3 linked regions of the Sus scrofa genome follow. The protein of the gene in region 3 interacts with the protein of the main gene of each other region in a pairwise test. Links are inferred from orthologs where the notes say so. Each region holds a gene or a part of one and is shown on either strand. Other genes may lie near its edges.

Region 1 (3,749 bases), on a different chromosome or scaffold from region 3:
AACTAACTCTGGGCGGCATGGCCTCTTTCCGGCTTCTGCAAGCCCTTGTGAAAAACTTTATTGACAAAGTTGCCAGAGAGCGAACAGCGGACTCTAAGGAGGGCTGAGCCTAAGCAGATGGGCTCACAGCTAGGAGTGTGGCTTTGCCTTGTCTGACTGTGGTCATTTGGTTCGTTTTTCTGTCGCCCCCATTTGAGTCGAGCCTCTTTCAGGTTACTAGTTACAGTGATTCTAATTCTCTCTTTTCCCCCATTATTTAAACAAGCAAAAAACTTGTATGTGAAATTTTTTTTGGAAAGAACCGAGTATGACAAGGCCTTCCAAGATAAGACTCTTACACAGACACCTCAGCCCTTCAGCTTCCGACCCCAACCCAAAGATTTCCACTTGCATGTTCCTCACTTACTGTTCCAGTAAACATTTATTGAACATCTGCTGTCTTCCAGCCACAGTGCTGGATTTTGGAGTCACAGAGATGAGCAATTCAGACATTGTCCCTCCCCTTACGAAGCTCTAATGACTTAAGGGGAAAAGATCCACAGGAATGAGAAGTTACACCCTTACATTTCTGCCCCCTGGTCCTCCCATAGGAAAGATCACTGTGGATTCCTATTGCTGTCTTTTTTTTAATGGCCACACTCTCAGCATAAGGAAGTTTCCAGGCTACAGATTCAATCCAAGCCATGGCTGTGATCTATGTGACCAGAACCACTGCAGTCACGTTCTTAAACCACTGTGCCACGGTTTTTGTAACCTTAAACCTAACCTAAAAAGCAAGGTGCTTAGGGAGATGTTCCTGAAACAACCTGTCTTTCCTTTTTATTGGCCTTTCACTTGTTGTTCCTCTGCCTGAAACACCCATTCTCCTGATTCCCAGCAGGTCTCAACTCAAATATCACTTTGGCAAAGAAATTTTCCTATTGAAATTGTCTTATTGATTTATTTTCTAGGCTTCTTTATTATCTGCTACCCCAACAGAACAAGCCCCTTAAGTCCAGAGACTTTGCCTGTCATCTCGTTCTTTCCTATGTCTATGCCCAGAATAGTGCCTAACTAATAACAGGTGCTCAATAAATATTGAATGAATAAGTGTAGAAATTCCACCTCTCTTTTGGGTGTTTTCCAACCTACTCCAACATCCTTTTTTTTTTTTTGGTCTTTTGTCTTTTTAGGGCCACACCGCAGCATATGGAGGTTCCCAGGCCAGGGTCCAATTGGAGCTGTAGCTGTCATCCTACACCACAGCCACAGCAAAGCAGGATCCGAGCTGCGTCTGTGACCTACACCACTGCTCACAGCAATGCCAGATCCTTAACCCACTGAGCAAGGCCAGGGATCGAACCTGCATCCTCATGGATACTAGTAGGGTTCATTAACCACTGAGCCATGACAGGAACTCCCCAAGCACCTTCTGATGCACAAACCCATTCTTCCCCCTTTGCTTTCCTGTGCTGGGAGTTCCTACAAAACCCATGTTCCTAGAACACACTTACCTCTAGGCTCAGCTGCACCCCCACTTTCAGAGAGCATGACGTCCTTCTCTAAGGCTTTTTCTGTCGGCAGATTCAGCAGGGCGGGGCCTGCCCTTTAATCTGGGCCCCACCTGCTCTGGTCAGACAGGTTTGGAGACCCAGGTAAAGGGAGGGAGACGGAGAGAAATACTTGCAGAGCCAGCAGCGAGCTAGGCAGCTCCTTCCCGGACGCTGGGGACCCTCTACCTCTCTCCAGATGGAAAGTAAGTGGGTGTCACGGGTCCAAACATTAAGGGATCGGAGGTCCTTGAGCAGTGAAGGGAGGGAAGTTAGCCTCATCCAGAAGCAGTGAGATGGAGGACGGCAGGGAGGGGAGAAAGACAGGAGAGGAGGCATGGGAAACAGCTTTGATTAGACCTAGAGGTCAAAATGGACAGACCCAGGCCCTTCAGATGTGGAGTGGGTTGGTGAGAAGTTTGAAAACCGACCAAGTATCCAGATTGGAGACGAAAGAACAGGGTCCCCTGCTACTGCCAGCTCCTTGGGACAGATTTGTTGGCAAATCGTTGGTATAAGTTGCCAGGAGAGTTCCAGTCCGGGGTCTTCAGGGGAAGGCAAGGTTTGGAAGTGAAAGGGAAGCTTCTCTGTCCACGAGAAGGTCTTTAGCAAGAAGAAAGCCCTTGGCAAATTTCTAGACACCTCCTTTTCCTCTCATTCCTGCATTTGGGTGGCCATGACCCCAGGGGTTTTGGTGGAGAGGGGCAGGAGATGTGGGTGGAGGCGAGGCCACAGCTGCCAGGGCCTGTGCCCCCTGACTCACCCTCTCCTGGTGAATAGCATTTGATGTCGAAAGGGTGTCTCCATTTCAGCTGCTCACTTCCCTCCTGCCTCACTCTATTTCAACACAAGGACCATGTTCTCCCTAAGGTCCCAGATGGGGCTAAAGCCCACCGTAAGACCAGCTGAGCTTCGGTTCTATCAACCCAGAAAACAGCAGCTTTTTTTTTTTTTTTTTTTTTTTTTTTGGCCTTTTTATTTTAGGTCCGCACACGGGGCATGTGGAGGTTCCCAGGCTGGGGGTGGAATCGGAGCTATAGCTGCTGGCCTATGGCACAGCCACAGCAAGGCCAGATCCAAGCCACGTCTGCAACCTATACCACAGCTCGTGGCAACGCCAGATTCTTAACCCACTGAGCAAGGTCGGGGATTGAACTCGAAACCTCATGGTTACTAGTTGGATTCATTTCCACTGAGCCACTACAGGAACTCCAAGAGCAGCAGCTTCTGACAGAGCTTCCCTCTGCTCCTTCCAGGGTGACACGACCTTACGGTAGACCCCAGAAGTGAGGCCCCAGGATGACGGAACCCGAGGCCATGGCCCTGCTGGAGGTGAAGGGGCCTGCAGCCCTGGAGAAAAGCCCACCCCAGGCCTTGGTCCCCAATGGCGAGAAGACAGAGGGGGAGGGTGGAGCTGAGTCTCCCAGAGCCGAGTCCTCCAGAGTGGGGTCTTCAGCTGGGTCTCCCACAGCCGGACAGGGGACTGAGGATGGGCTAGATAGCACAGTAAGTGAGGCTGCCACCTTGCCCTGGGGGGCTGGCCCCCAGCCCAGTGCCCCGTTCCCAGATCCCCCAGGCTGGAGAGACATTGAGCCTGAGCCCCTCGAGTCAGAGCCAGCCACCAAGCTGGAGGAGTTGCCCGAAGATGACGCTTGCCTGCTGCCTGAGAAGGCGGCCCGAGCCTTCGTGCCCATCGACTTGCAGTGCATTGAGCGGCGGCCACAGGAGGACCTTGCTGTGCGCTGTGAGGCGAGCGAGGGCGAACGCCGCCGGACCTTCCTGCCCACCCGGGCCGCCCCCGCTGAGCCCCCTGAGCGCAAGTGGGCTGAGGCAGTGGTGAGGCCGCCTGGCCGCTCCTGTGGGGGCTGCGAGGGCTGCGGAGGCCATGAGGGGCTCAGGGCTGTGGCCTCCGTAGGAGCTGCTTTCATCCTCTTCCCCTGCCTGCTCTACGGGGCGTATGCCTTCCTGCCCTTCGACGCCCCGCGCCTGCCGACCATGAGTTCCCGCCTCGTCTACACGCTGCGCTGCGGGGTCTTTGCCACCTTCCCCATTGTTCTGGGTGAGCCTGGGTCCTGTGAAAAGGGAGGGGGCATCTGGGAGCTGGACTGGAGGGCAGGGCCTTCCTGGCTTGGAGAGCAGGAGAGTTTCCCCTTGTGAGACCTGGACCCTCGGGGGGGCCCCCCCGCTACCCTGTGTGCCCACCTCTGCCCCACAGTGTAG
Region 2 (3,749 bases), on a different chromosome or scaffold from region 3:
AGCAAGGGCAGGGATCGAACCCGCAACCTCATGGTTCCTAGTCGGATTTGTTAACCGCTGCGCCATGACAGGAACTCCCACCCTAATATTTTAAGGGGAACCATAACACACAGTGAGCAGACAGAGATTATGCTCTGTGGGTCTTAGAAAGGAAGCAGAGCAGAGACTGAAAGCAAGGAGTACTAGAGACAGCAGAAGAAAACAGAGTCAGAGCAAAGCCAGGAGGTCTCAAGCCACAGGCAGCTGGGCGAGACTTGCAGTTTACCTTGAAATTCCCGGATTTCCAGTAGTTTACCTTGAAGTTCCTGGGTTTTGGCACCAAATGATCTTGGAGAGACAGCAGTGAGTGATGGCTTGGGGCAAGATCTTAATCCTCTGCTCTGCTCTGGAATTGAACTTGGGCAGCTTGGATGAAAACCAGGAATCCTAACCAGCTAGAGGCTAGAAGCAGAATTGCCCTGATTCTTGACCCTCCCCAGTATACATGCACATTTTTTGGGAAAGATGGATTCCAGAGCAAAGGGTGCCTCGATGGTATCAGGACTTAGGATGGCCCAGTGCCCCCTCCCTTTTAGACCCCTGGGAGTCATACTGTGCCTGTGTAACTGGGGGATCTCCTTGGCCCCAGGAGGGATCGAAGTGGTCCTCTTATCTTTCTACTTCAGCAGAGCTCAGCTCTTTCAACTAAATTTTTCTTTGAGGTGTCAAAGAGAAACGATTCACTTGGCCTAACAAGTCCCAGCTGTTCTCAGCCCAGGGGCCCAGCTCCCTCCTACCTCACTTGAAGTGAAAATCTGATGCTCCCAGAGAACTGATGAACCATTTACGAACCCCCACACTGATGCCAAGGCACCTCATGCCTTTAGTAGTGCCCCTGCAGGTCCACAGGCACAGACGCCTCAGTCACCTTCCTGGAGCTCAGCCCTGTGCTTGGGGGAAATTCTGCTGGGAAGGTGGTGGACTCCCCATTGGGTCAGACCCTTGGGGCTGCCTTAGAGGTCCAGCCTGGCAGACATACAGGGAAAGCCACAGAACTGCATGGGCAGGTGCCAGCAAGAAAGACGGGCATGCCAGGAAGACACCCACAGTGAGAGGTGCAGATTGCCCAAGGGCAAGTTTGCTCAGCTTACCCAGCTTTGCTCTTGCCAGGGCCAAGAGGACTCATGTGCCAGGGCCAAGGACCCTTAGGCGCTCTTGCAGCTAGCTTATCAGGGCCTTGGCTCTGAAGGGCCAGGAACAAACAGGCTTCAAAGTTGAGGGCTTGGCTGGTAGACAGAGGCCAAGTCTTTCACCTCTGTCCTCTCTCCCTCCTGGTGCATATAAGACCCTGGTCACACTTGGGGATGAGCAGGGGAAGGTGCCTACAGCAAGATGGATGTAGGCAGCAAAGAAGTCCTGATGGAGAGTCCGCCGGTGAGTGTGCATGTGGAAGGGAGTGTGTGTGTGTGTTTGTGTGTCTGTGTGTGCAGGTGAGTGGTGGGTCCTGCCTCCTCCAACCTCTCAGCCTGTTTCCTCATCCAAATTCATTCGCTCAACTAACCTAGGACTGTGCTAAATTGGGAGAGGGACCCTAGCCTAATGGTAGGTTGGTCATAGTAGACTGGAGAGATCGGTGTGGCAGCCACTAATTCCCATACGAGGGGCTGTGAGCCACCACGGAGGTCAGTGGAAAGGGCTGCTAAGAGCATTGGATAAGGAGCCACTACTTAGGAGGTCGCAGAAAGCTTCACAGAGAAAATAAGCTGGCCCCAGAAGACCAGGTCAGAGCTCACTAGGTGGAGAAGGAGGAAGGCATTATGGGAAGAAGGGATCATATGCATAAAGGCATGGGGGTGTGATACAGCATGGGTTTGGGGGGGACAGAGAGGGACTGGGTATGGCTGGGATGCCAGGAAATAGCAGGAGATGAGACTGGTGAAACAGGCTCCCTTGGGTCTCTCCAAGCTAGACTTCTCTAAGCATCAATGGGTTTGTTGAAATCCAGGCCCCTTCCTCCAGAAGCCTTCTCTGATCTCCTCAGCCCCCTGCTGCATGCCCCTAGCATTGGTTGTTCAGCCCTGGGAGAGTGTGGAGGGTTTCCAGATCGTATAAGAAGAAGACGGAGCATCTTCACAACCTCACACCTGTCTCCCTGCCTGCCTCACCCCCTTCAGGACTACTCAGCAGTCCCAGGGGGCCGGCTCCGCATCCCCTGCTGTCCTGTGAACCTCAAACGCCTTCTTGTCGTGGTCGTGGTGGTGGTTCTTGTCGTCGTGGTGATTGTAGGGGCCCTGCTCATGGGTCTTCACATGAGCCAGAAACATACTGAGATGGTGAGCAGGCCTGGGATGGGGTAGACCGGTCAGGTAGCATTTTGCCCGAGGGGAAGGAGGGAAAGTGAGGCGCACCTAGTGGAAGGACAGGTGGGAGCAGGGTGGTAATGCTGGCCTGAGCTTTTTTACCAGGCCCCTGTCCCAGGGTGGGATAGCCTGTTCCCTCCAGCACCTGGTTCCCCTCGGCCTCTCTAAGCACCCAAAGGAAGAAAGAATTGCATTTGAGTAAAGAGGACTGAGGGTGGGCATGAGGCAAAGGAATGAGTGGAAGAGAGGAATGCCAGGAAGCACTACGACCTCCCCCAGGTCCTAGAGATGAGCCTCGCAGGGCCAGAAGCCCAGCAACGCCTGGCCCTGAGTGAGCATGTGGGAACCACTGCCACCTTCTCCATTGGCTCTAGTGGCAATGTGGTCTATGACTACCAGCGGGTGAGTATGACTCCTGACCCTAGGGCTGGGGGACCAATAACAAGACAATGCTAGTCCTGCCCAGCTATGCTGCTTCTTACATGTCATCCATCTCTCCCCACCCCCAGCCCTTTTACCTCCCCTGGGGGGGTGCCTGAGCCCCAGATTCCAATATGGCTCCCCCCAGGGCCCATCCTAGAGGGAGGTGGCCAAGGCCCAGGGTTAGAGAGTAAACTAAGCAGTGCCTTCCTTAACCCACTCCATCGTTCCCGTGCACAGCTCCTGATTGCCTACAAGCCAGCCCCGGGAACCTGCTGCTATGTCATGAAGATGTCTCCGCAGAGTATGCCGAGTCTTGAGGCTCTCACCAAAAAATTCCAGAACTTCCAGGTGAGTGTGCATGTAAGGAGTGGGTTATCTCCCTGCCAGGGCTGCTGGGAGGAGCATTTGCAATGACGGCTCCTTGTCACCTGTAAGGCCTCATGGACTGCCAGGTGAACGCCCTGCCTAGACCCGTGCACCAAACCTTTCCTACCTGTTCCTCATCCCTACCTACAGCCATGCCACTGGCCTCAGCTGAGCCCCACACCCCCTGGGGGCTTCTGATTCCAGCACAGCCCCTTCTTTACACAGAGAGATTACCAGGCACACCTGAAGTCCCATAATGAGGGCCGCAGGTGAGACAGAAACTCAGTTCCCAGGCTCTCAAATCAGATGCTCTTTCCAGGCCAAGCCCTCGACGCCTACCTCTAAGCTGGGCCAGGAGGAGGGCATGTCGCTGGCTCAGCACCCTCCGGGGACCTGGCCTTCCTGGGCAGCACCATGAGCACCCTGTGTGGCGAAGTGCCCCTCTTGTACATCTAGGAAACATCAGGTGAGCAGGTGTGACCTCCAGGGCCCTGGAGCAAGCAAGTGACAGTGAGTGACCACTGGTCCCTCCCCCTCCTCTTTCTCAGTGTGAAAGGAGCCTGAATTCAGACTGAGGCAAAAGGCTTTTTGGGACACTAGTCTGCCATCTTCCGTCTGCTA
Region 3 (3,649 bases):
ACCCGAAACCTCATGGTTCCTAGTCAGATTCGTTAACCACTGAGCCATGATGGAAACGCCATACCTTGAAATTGTGTAACAAGTTCTATGTTGTTTCTGGAGAGAGTGTCCATAACTTATCAGAACCAATGAAAAATTCTTGATTCAAATGGTGTTAAGTTCCACTAGGTTGAGGGGTTGAAACCTTAAGCTCTCTGTAACCCTTATATTTCTGTATAGTCTTTCTCCTGTGTTATATACCCCAAGTGATAAATAACTGAAGTGTTAGGACCATAGTATGAACCTCTTTAGGTACATTTTATTATTTTGTCTACTGTTTTTAAACCACAACTGAAACTAGTGTTATATTTTGGTTCCTTTAAATTTTTTTTTTCTGAAATATGTAATAAATGTTAATATCTTCACTGCCTCTACCTCAGCAGTTTATGGTGTATAGAGCCAGTCTTGTGAAGCAACAAATTACCGTTATTTAATTTGAAAATTTAAACCCAATGTTTTTTACACTGTAGTTTTATTAGCTCTATGGGCGTGAGCTACATGATGTTGTGCACTGAAAATTACCCAAATGTTCTGGCCTTCTCTTTCCTGGATGAGCTTCAGAAGGAGTTCATTACTACTTATAACATGATGAAGACAAATACTGCTGTCAGACCATACTGTTTCATTGAATTTGGTAAGGGCCTGATTTTTTTTTTCCTTTTCATTATCCTGTCTCCATCCAGTCATAAGCAATTTTTCATCTAATACTAAGGGATAGAGAGAATAATTCAGAAAATTCTGCTACTTTGCTTTTGATAGGATAATTTGACACATCTTCTGTAAATTATGGCAACTTAATCATTTAGGTGCCTATTGGAAAAAATGTATTTGAGCTTTATAGGGAATTGCGATTATTGGTGCAAAGAATTAATCCCAGAGGACAATTTCTCCATGAGAAATTTGTAAGCCAGAGATTGAGAGTTTTGTGTTTATATGATAGTATTTTTAGATTGCCTAATGTAGAACAGAGGTAGGTAAACATTGGTTTGAAAGGACCAGATAGTACAATTTTAGGCTTTAGGAGGGATTATCTAGTCTTTGTCATAGCTACTCAGTGCTTGCTATTATAGCCTTTAAATTAGCCATAGGCTATAGATAAATGAATGAGTATAGTTATGTTTTAATAAAATTTTATTTACAAAAAAATCAGGCTATATTTAGCCTGTGGACATTAGTTTGCATGACTCCTGATGTAGAAGGGAAAAAATAAATCCAAAGTGTAAATAGTGAAAATAACATTTATTCTTTAAAACATTTGTTTTAATGGTATAAGCAATAAACAAGAAAACAGATTTATATTAATATGGAATTTACAGTATATGTTTTAATGTAATTAAACTGGTAAATAACTGTCAGACTTAATATTTTATAAGATCAGAATGTCTATAAAACTTAAGACTTTGGTTTAAATTTAAAGGGAGCTGTTTTTGGCTTTTTTTTGTAGAAGTTTGGAGTAATTCCCTTAAGTGGATATAATAGAAATAGTCTCAGTCATGTAATGTTAAATCTGTATTTATAATTATTAATTTCTAGAGTATAATTTCTAGTGGGAAAAACTGATGGCACCAGGATATATTAACCATTAAATACAAATAATATTAGGACATTCCCTGGCAGATTGAACAGTTTGGGATAACTGATTAAACTGTTTATTGCAAAATTTACTGTCCATAAACATAGATAGCACTCTCAAATGATTTAATTAACAGATGACCGCAAGGAAATTTATTTTTTATTTTACATAGATAACTTCATTCAGAGGACCAAGCAGCGATATAATAATCCCAGGTCTCTTTCAACAAAGATAAATCTGTCTGACATGCAGATGGAAATCAAGCTGAGGCCCCCTTATCAAATTTCCATGGGTGAACTGGGGTCAGCCAATGGAGTAACATCTGCATTTTCTGTTGACTATAAAGGTGCTGGTAAGATTTCTTCTGGTGAGTTCTGGATCTCAATTACTTCATTAAAAAAATATTTACTAAGGACTAAGGAACTCTTAAAAATGAATTATTCTAAAATTTTAAAGTAAGTACATGAAAGAATGTGGAAGTTCACAGTAATAATTTCTCCCAGTGTTTTATACAATCATCTCTCAAATGTGTAACTAATCAGGAAAATGCCTTTTTTTTTTTTTTTTTTTTTTTTTTTTTGGCAGATGGTGCTGGGATGGGGAGGTGTGTGGCCCAGGGCATATGGAAGTTCCCAGGCCTACAGCTGAACCCCAGCCACAACAGTGACAACACTGAATCTTTAACCATTAGGTCACCAGAGAACTCCCAGGAAAATACTTTAAATAGCAATCTCAAAAGCACTCTTTGTTAGGGGAATATTAAAGAAGATTTCTTTGTGTATATTTTTCTAGAAAAGAATAATAGTTTATTTGTAATATAGACCTATAGGCATGTAAAGTGCTTTTGCATTATGTAAAAATGCCTACATTTAATTAAGGTTAGGGTTCTTGACCGTCACAGAAAATGTGATCATCTACTCAGACATCCCCTCCAAAACAAGGAATACCATCCTCAACAGTTGTGGCATGTTGAAAACTTCTGCTTAACAGTGGGACCTTTGTTATTTTATATGATAACATAGTCCATTATTGAAATATTTGTTTAAAAAATTCCTTCCTTGTATTTTGAGTTAAAATCTGTTTCCCATAATGCTACATTTGCCTAAGTTCTGTGACCTCTCCTTCCCTCTTTTCTGCTGTATCAGAACTTTGAAGTCAGCAACTCTGTGTCCTTTCTATCCTACTAGTCTGATTGACTTCATATAAAATATCCTCAGTTCCCTTAGCCTTTTTGTCTATGGTATTTTGAAGCCTTCATCATCCTGAAAGCTTCCTCTGTATATGTTTTGTTTGTTAGTATTCTTCAAATGTGGCATTTAGTACTGAACACAACACTTCATATTTGGTTTGAGTAATATAAATTACGGGAGAAAAAGGGAAGCAGATTTCACTAAAATAATCCAGCTGGTCAGAAAACAAGCAAACTAGCAAATAACCGTAACAAACCCTGGGGAAGAGGAGGTAGATCACCACCCATAGTTGTTAAAATATGTTACTAAATATTCTAGTTTCCAGTGAAAAAAATTACATGACCTGCAGAGGAATAATATAATCCATACACTGGAAGTGGGGGGAGGGGAGAGGAAGGCAGGGAATAGAAACTGCCTGTGAGAGTGATCTGATGTCATATTTAACAAAGACCTCAAAGTGGCCATTCTAGAATTTCCTGTAGTGGCGCCGTGGTTGAGTGTCTGACTATAGCAGCTTGGGTTGCTATGGAGGTGCAGTTTTGATCCCCAGCCTGGCGCAGTGGGTTATTAGGATCCAGCATTGATGCAGATGTGGCGTAGTTCGCAGCTGTGGCTCAGATTCAGTCCCTGGCCTGGGAACTTCCATATGCTGTGGATGTGGCCATAAAATAAAAACAAAGTAGCCATTATAATTATCTTCAGAAACTAAAGGAAACCATGATTAAAGAAGTAAGGAAGGTATGATGATGCAACATCAAATACACTGTATTAATAAGACATAAAAATTATAAAGAAAAAGAACCAAGTGGAAATTCTAGAGGAAAATTATAACTGAAAAAATACACTG

Evidence for each region.
Region 1: the proteins of SEC22A (region 3) and TMEM79 interact in binary tests that used the Homo sapiens proteins (3 or more experiments, as listed by UniProt). The two-hybrid records come from large-scale screens. The link is inferred for Sus scrofa from reciprocal best matches to the Homo sapiens genes SEC22A and TMEM79.
Region 2: the proteins of SEC22A (region 3) and SFTPC interact in binary tests that used the Homo sapiens proteins (3 or more experiments, as listed by UniProt). The two-hybrid records come from large-scale screens. The link is inferred for Sus scrofa from reciprocal best matches to the Homo sapiens genes SEC22A and SFTPC.

Annotation. Positions count from the first base shown.
Region 1 is NC_010446.5:93,766,499-93,770,247, reverse strand, and holds the start of TMEM79 (transmembrane protein 79), read left to right. Parts: upstream 1-1,407; 5' UTR 1,408-1,735; intron 1,736-2,785; 5' UTR 2,786-2,828; coding exon 2,829-3,588; intron 3,589-3,749.
Region 2 is NC_010456.5:6,439,008-6,442,756, forward strand, and holds the start of SFTPC (pulmonary surfactant-associated protein C), read left to right. Parts: upstream 1-1,305; 5' UTR 1,306-1,371; coding exon 1,372-1,413; intron 1,414-2,153; coding exon 2,154-2,312; intron 2,313-2,618; coding exon 2,619-2,741; intron 2,742-2,999; coding exon 3,000-3,122; intron 3,123-3,447; coding exon 3,448-3,546; coding exon of another isoform or gene 3,547-3,584; 3' UTR 3,585-3,594; intron 3,595-3,749. UniProt on the Homo sapiens protein: Pulmonary surfactant associated proteins promote alveolar stability by lowering the surface tension at the air-liquid interface in the peripheral air spaces.
Region 3 is NC_010455.5:137,223,126-137,226,774, reverse strand, and holds part of SEC22A (vesicle-trafficking protein SEC22a), read left to right. Parts: intron 1-509; coding exon 510-673; intron 674-1,784; coding exon 1,785-1,979; intron 1,980-3,649. UniProt on the Homo sapiens protein: May be involved in vesicle transport between the ER and the Golgi complex.